Linked DNA regions of Mus musculus. The protein of the gene in region 1 purifies or fractionates together with the protein of each later gene. This does not show direct contact. Links are inferred from orthologs where the notes say so. Each region holds a gene or a part of one and is shown in the gene's direction. Other genes may lie near its edges.

Evidence for each region. The genes of interacting proteins can lie anywhere in the genome.
Region 2: the proteins of Sdc2 (region 1) and Ampd2 purify together in Homo sapiens (co-immunoprecipitation; 3 studies listed by BioGRID and IntAct, counting the BioPlex papers as one, with this or other methods). This does not show direct contact. The link is inferred for Mus musculus from reciprocal best matches to the Homo sapiens genes SDC2 and AMPD2.

The regions. Positions count from the first base shown.
Region 1 is NC_000081.6:33,014,634-33,018,281, forward strand, and holds part of Sdc2 (syndecan-2 precursor), read left to right. Parts: intron 1-2,468; coding exon 2,469-2,580; intron 2,581-3,648. UniProt on the Homo sapiens protein: Cell surface proteoglycan which regulates dendritic arbor morphogenesis.
Region 2 is NC_000069.6:108,083,694-108,087,441, reverse strand, and holds the start of Ampd2 (AMP deaminase 2), read left to right. Parts: upstream 1-1,214; coding exon 1,215-1,224; exon of another isoform or gene 1,225-1,466; intron 1,467-2,015; exon of another isoform or gene 2,016-2,048; coding exon of another isoform or gene 2,049-2,195; intron 2,196-2,773; exon of another isoform or gene 2,774-2,861; intron 2,862-3,748. Other genes in the region: Gm12500 (uncharacterized protein LOC791415), read right to left, coding at 599-1,216. UniProt on the Homo sapiens protein: AMP deaminase plays a critical role in energy metabolism. Catalyzes the deamination of AMP to IMP and plays an important role in the purine nucleotide cycle.

The DNA.
Region 1 (3,648 bases):
TTCAACAAAAGGAGTGTTTTCTGGGCACCTACTTTATTCCAGGCACTAAGATTTAGCAGTGTGCAGTAAGGAGGCTTTCAGGGAGGTCCTGCTGTTGAGTCTAAGATGCCTTGTACACCAACACTGACAAATGCTTTCTTTTTTATTATATTAAAACGACAGGTCATTTTTATATAAAATAACAGTTCCACGTACCCAGATTTTTCCTGTGTACTTTAAGTCATCTCCTGGCTACTTATAATGGTTGTGCTGATAGCTGTTGTTTATTATGGTATACACTCAGTACCGAATTTTTTAAAATTTATATTCACATTATTTTGTGACAGGGTCTTATTAAGTAGCCCAGGCTGCCCTCAAACGTGTGATTGTCCTACCTCAGATTCATTAGTACCATTATATATTTACACACACACAGTTTTTCAACCTACAGTAGTTTGAATTCATATATGTATGAATGTATATCCCAGGAATGTTAGGGGGCTATGTGCACAGCCTTCTCCCACAAAAGAGCTGAGAATGTAATAGGGTCAGAGAATGTATGAGGCTAGAGTATACAGAAGTCCCTACTCAGTTTGCAAGCTTTGAGAATTAAAATATGGAATGATCAGAGGCTTGGAGACTGGTATTTTGTAGAACTGTCTCAGATTACAGATGAATCTAACTGTATGTCTGGACAGCTCCAGAACATTCTTGGCTGCTGTGAGAGGGGTGTTACTCATGCCTGCAAACCAGCCTGCTGGAACCCAAATCCCTAAGGGCTGTGGCCTCTTAATTGCCCAGTGTGATATCTCAAAGTGATTCCCATCCTTCTTTGTTCCTTGGCATCAAGGCCAGTGGAGATTGTGGGCTAACATTTAATATCCTCCTGCCTCTCCAGCAAGCCCCTGAAACTTGAGAGGACAAAGTGTTGCTTTCAGAGTGTGCCTGCTAGTTTTCCCAGGGAGGTTCACGCATATTGACTGTTGAAACCGAGTTTTATTTTTAGAAGAAATCTAGTGGAAACCAACATAGTAAGGGGAATTTTTTCTTATATATATAATTCCGTGAGGGACAAACATTCCAATTTGATCGTTAAAAATAGGACTAAAATGAATGTCATTTGTTCCAAAAACTGCTAGTCTGAGATACTTGTAGTAAAATATCAATTTACTAAATCCTTTTGTAAAAAAAATTCCACTTCTGCTCTGTCTGCAATTCATGCAAGTTACTTCTTGGGCAAACATAGACTGAATTTTAATCATGGCCAATTCTTGAAAAGCTGAGAGGCTCTGGAAATGGGATAGTTGGTGACTCAATCCTGCTCCACATCAAGCCTATGACTTGCTGTCACCAAGTGCCAGTAATACAAGAAAAAGTACTCTTGTGGGTTTATCTGTTTGTCATTAAACTTTGCTAAGCCAGCAAGCCTGAGAAGTAGGCTTGCCATGGACTTTCACCATTGGCATATGAGCTCCACAGGCCCTGTTCCACACAGATTACCTTGCCTGATGTCAGTGTGGGTCTGGTCTGTACAGAGATCTCTGGTTTTCCCTAGTAACTGGAGAGCACTTATCTGTAGTGAGAAAGCCACGCATGGCCACGCCTGTTAAGTATCTGGTGTGTATACGTCCCTAAGTGATTATTTAGCCTAGTGTCATAATACCTTGCTTTATGTTTCCAAGAAAATCGTAAATAATTTAGGCATTCTGTAGCTTAACATTAATCACTAAGTAATCTCATTTGTGATAGAATGAATGTCTGAGATAGTTTAGTAACTTAGAACAACAGATACTCAGGTAAGTGAAGTGGGGTGCAATGAGCTAAGCCTATGCCAGACTTGGATATCAGTGCGGTCATTATTATATAAGATTAGGCCACGTGAGCTTCCTTGGGGTTTTGTGTGTGTGTGTGTGTGTGTGTGAGAGAGAGAGAGAGAGAAGGGTGGCTGGACAGGAGAATGCAGAACACAGCTGCAAAGTGACAGATCTTCAATACAGCATATGCAAAATGTGAACAGTAGACAAAGCAGAGCCTTTCTTTTCTTTTTTTTTTAATTAGGTATTTTCCTCGTTTACATTTTCAATGCTATCCCAAAAGTCCCCCATACCCACCCCCCCAATCCCCTACCCACCCACTCCCACTTTTTGGCCCTGGGGTTCCCCTGTACTGGGGCATATAAAGTTTGCAAGTCCAATGGGCCTCTCTTTGCAGTGATGGCCGACTAGGCCATCTTTTGATACATATGCAGCTAGAGACAAGAGCTCCGGGGTACTGGTTAGTTCATAATGTTGTTCCACCTATAGGGTTGCAGTTCCCTTTAGCTCCTTGGGTAATTTCTCTGGCTCCTCCATTGGGGGCCGTGTGACCCATCCAATAGCTGACTGTGATCATCCACTTCTGTGTTTGCTAGGCCCCGGCATAGTCTCACAAGAGACAGCAGAGCCTTTCTTAATCTGACCATCCTGAATTGCTTATCTTTCCTTTCTCAGAGAACAGAGCTGACATCCGATAAGGATATGTACCTTGACAATAGCTCCATTGAGGAAGCTTCAGGAGTATATCCTATTGATGATGATGACTATTCTTCTGCCTCAGGCTCAGGTAAGGCTGCCTACTGGATGCCATTCTCTATACCCCGGCATGCACACATTTCGCTGTGCCTTCTTCCGTTACAAGCACAGCATGTGTCATAGTCATGAGCATGGTTTGGGGATACAAATTCCAGTTCAAGCTATGAGAACTTTGGAACCTAACTTTGCTGAGTCTCAGTTTCATTATTTATAAGTGGAAATAAATAACTATATTTACCACTGAGTTAGGTATTCATCTCTGTGAAGAGACACCTGACAGCAACTCATAAGGGAAAACATTTAATTGAGGATGGCCTACAGTTTCAGAAGTTTAGTAATTATCATCATGGCAACATGCATGGCAACGTGCACACAGACATGGTGCTGGAGGAACCAGAGTTCAACATCTTGATCCACATACAGCAGGAGACTGTGTGCCACACTAGGTATAGCTTGAGCATAGGAGACCTCAAAGCCTACCCTCACAGTGACATACTTCTTCCACACCTACTTCACCAAGGCCACACCTCCTAATAGTGCCACTTCCTATGGCCAAGCATTCACACACACAAGTCTATTAAGGCTGTACCTACTCAAACTACCACAATCATATAAAGTTTTTCATGGATAAATGGAGTTGAGGAGATAGCTTTCAGTTTTATTGTTAAAAATTTTAGAATATGGTCATAGAAACCACCGTTCAAGAAATCTTTCAAATACCCATTTAATAAAATGCCTGCTCTATGTTAAGATTATACACAAAAACAAAAACTTACAGGCTTTTAAAGTATATTGCTCATAAGTAGGAGGAACAGAACTGCAGCTATGTAATATAAAGATAGATTTATGTCTTTGATTTCTTCAGTGTATTAGTTGTCTATTGTCTCTGCAATGTTGCCTAACAAACCATCCGAACACTAAGTACTTTGAAGCAGTGGGCATTTGGTTAATTCATTATCCTGCATGTTTTCCAGTTAGAGGCAGGCTCTACAATGGCTTACAGCTGAAGCTTGGCTGATTTTGGCTTAACTCTGTCGTGAGCAGACTTGGCTTTAGTCCACATGGGCCCTTCAGTCTCCAGGTGACCAGCCATATTTTC
Region 2 (3,748 bases), on another chromosome or scaffold:
GGACTTTCCTTTTCAGGGTTCCTGTAGGTACAGGCTGCCCCTGGGAGGCAGGAATCCTTGTTTGAGAGGGTGTCTGTGGCCCTATTCAAACAGCCCAATTTCTCATAACCCACAAGGAGAAATCAGTGAGCTGGCCATAGTGATCCCAGGCCAAAGAAATCTTCCAGGAACACTGATTGGGAAGTAACTTACAGGCCAGGCACAAGTCTAAGCACTTATAATTATCTCCTTTATCTTCATCAGAGCGGGTGTAAGAGCCAAAGTTAACCAGTAAAACCCAGAGAGAAGTTCACCATCAGTCAGAAAGTAGGTGGAGATGTCTGAATTTGAACCTAGGCATTCTGGCTAGTCTAACGTCAACATAGAAATTAATGTGGGATGGTGAACCGGCTTTGAAGGGCACATCCTGCCTACCAATGACTGATAGAAGGAAATAGATTCAGGTGGGAATGCGGAGAATTCAAGGGCAGGGCTTCTGCTTGAAATGGATTCTGGGACCCTAATAATAGCTACCTGACTTTGTGCCAGACATTGTGCAAAGGGGATTTACCTTCAGTCCTCAGTAACTCCTTTCTTTGGATGGGGTGTTTCCATTGCCTCATCCCATCTTACTGATGAGGAAACTGACGCACAGAAATCGCCCAAGACCAAAGGGCCAAGCCAAGGCCAACCCTGGTCCGGAGGCTGCCCACGTGGCGTAAGGGAACTGGGAAAATGGTTGGGGCGTGGCCAGGAGGCCAAGAGGCGTGGCCGAACGGGGCGTGGCCGCGGACTTGGCGGGGCCTGGGGTACGCGAGATTGGCGCGCAGCCCGGAAGGTTTCGGCGGGGTCGCACCTGTTGCGTGACTCCCCCGTAGCCCGGCCACAGGAGCCGGATCCCTAATTGATTCCCAGAAAGTGGTGAAAGAACCCTAGGCGAATTCCGGGTCCGGTTTTCTGGGGAGCACGTGGCCTGTTTCCTCTTGAGTGCAGGCTTGGGGTCGCGACTCCGGGGTCTCCTGAGGTCAGTCTGGCCGCTGAAGTCGGCGGGAGTCCGCCCCCCGGCCAGCTGGCCATTTTGAAAACCTTGCCTTCCTTCCCGCTTCTCAGTGCGGGTGCAGGGGCCAGTGGCGCGACTTCGCCCCGGTGGGGGCCCTCTCCCCTCTTCAGCCCGGCTCCCTCGCTGTGCAGACTTTCGTAGGCTGCCTTCCTGGTCCACGCGGGACTTGGGCAGCATGGCCTCAGGTAAGTGTGTGGCGCGTGTGTGGTTGATAAAGGGACTCCAAGGCAGAGGTGCCTGGGTCGGGTGATAAGTGGGTGGGGGGTCTTGGCAATGCCTGCAAGACCTAGGGGACGTGAACGGCTCCTAGAAGGGTCCAAGGAAGCAGATCTTGAGTGTACAGGCAGAGCGACAGGTCAGAGTAGGCTGGGGTCTTTCCCATCGACCTCAGACAAGACCCAGCCTCCTACTCTTCCTGTCTTCCTAGGAGACAGCTTCTGCCGGTCAGTGGAATTTTCCCAAGACAGGCCCCTCCCTCCTGGGCTCGAATTCTCAGTTCTGCCTCCTCCCGGAGCTGGGCTGTCCCTAGAGCAGGGGTCAGATGGAGAAGAAAAGAGGGGGGCTCTGCCCCAGAGGCTCTGGGTTTTCATGAGTACCGTTGTTCCTTCCCTGGAGGAAATGGGTTTTGAGGTTGGAGCTCAGGCGGTATTCTTGCCTATTATTTTTCTCTCTGGCTGGCTGGACCAGCCTAGCCTGGACTTTGGCTTCTTTGCCTTGGAGCCTTGGCAAGGGATGAGGGTTCCCGAGGTGGGGTGAGGGTAGTAAAGAGCTTAGAGCTGGTGCTGCTCCATCTGTTTTCTCTGCATCCCGACCCCGGCCCTAGCCACCATCAGACAGGGCACTCTAAAGACTGGAGTGGGAAGAGAGGGATAAGGGGCAGGATGGAGGCCCCACTCCCCGAGGTTGCCTAGACAACATCAGAAATCGTGGCCAGAGCCTCTTCCGCCTGCGGGGCGCTGCTTCCTGCATCAGTCACTCCCGCTGGGGGCGGGGCGGAGGAAGGGGTTGGATGTGGGAGAGCTTGGCCCCAGCCGGTGAGGTTCCTCCGCTGTCGCCTTGGCCCCAGCCATGGCATCCTATCCTGGCCCAGGCAAGTCCAAGGCCAAATATCCCTTTAAGAAGCGGGCCGGCCTGCAAGCTTCCGCTGCCGCTCCAGGTGAGAGTTCTTGGTTTCAGGCATGGGTTCCCCTCCTCTTGTCCAGGCCACTGAGTGCCTCCGATAAGGTCCCCTTCTGCAGCACCCTCTCTGCAATGATGCCTCTCGACCTCGGTTCCCCGGTTCCCCGGCTGACTGGCTGACTTGATGGCGCAGGGAGGGAGGTGGGAGGGGGTGCCTGAGGTTTCCATGTCAGGGGTGCTGCCCTCCGTAACAAGGAGTGGGTGTGGATGTGGGTGCCCACGAGATGTATATGCACACGTGTCAGCTTGTGCAGATGCTAAGACTGCGTGTGAAGTGTATGTGAATGGAGTGGGGAGGGTGTGGGACTGACTGCGGACTGGCTACTCTGATTGGTACCAGGCAGACTCAGGCTAGACTTGCCTTTACTTATTCTTTCCAAGACCCTAGATCTAGAACTCCCTCCCTGGTGAGTGGGGTGGTGAGGTCTGACATATGGGGTCATGCATTGCTAACACCTACACAACCAGATTGCTAACACCTATTGCCAGTGTCCTTCCTGTTGGCTTGTTCCAGGCCTGTGTTGTGAATTTCTTCAGGAGAGTGGGGAGCCCTTGAAATGGCTGGTGGGCTATGTACGCTGCATCCTTTGGACCTAAGTGGGCATCTCTGCACCATCTGCAGCTGGCCCTGTGGTCCATCCTGGTGAGGACTTAGCTACTAGAGTTTGTGCTTCCAGGGATGTGTCTTTAACTCTCAAGTCTAATGGCTAAAAGAAAGACATTTCGATGATTGATTGGGTGTTATCAACTCCTTATAGCTGCCTGTATTGACACCCTGACTAACCGCCTCTGGCCTATTCTTATCCTGCTGACTGTGCTTATCTAGGCTTTGTACTGTACTGAGATAGATTCTCTGTGCTCGCATCTGTCTTCTAGGTGTATGCCCTGGGACTAGCTCTGTGCTGGTTACTCTGTTGCTGAACCAGAGACCCTTAGGTGCTTATACCTTGAGAGCATCTTCTACTTGGGGTCAAGGCCTAGTGAGGCAGTCTTGAGTGAGTGAGTGAGGATGCTCCCAGTCAAAGGTGATTGACTAAGCACCAGAAATCCTGGAGCTGATGGAGTGGTCCCCTTTGGCTTTTGCCTGTATGTGTGGTACTGTAGATGCCAAGTTTTGGCACAGGGCCAGGGAGATGGATCCTGGCTTGGAGAGTGGAGGATAGCGCCTGTGCTTCTCCTCTGGTGAGTCCCTAGCAGTCGTTTACAGTCTTGTGGTATAGTAGGAGGATGGCTCTGGCTGCTGGTACCCTTCTTACTCACCTAGCTCGTCTGTGTAGTTCCAGGCCTATCTGATAGGAAAGGGTTTAAAATGAGGACTCTGTCTTCCTTTCTGCAGCCCTGTGGTCTGCCTTCAGGGACTCTAGAAGTGGTTGGTGGCTTGGTGTAGTGACACATACCTGTAATTAGCTATTTGGGAAGCTGAGGCGGGAGGATCATGAGCTCCAGGCATGCAGAGACACTTGGTAAGATCCTGGCTGGAAGTAAAAATAGAAAAGAATGAGGATATGGCCCAGTGGTAAGGACTTCCCT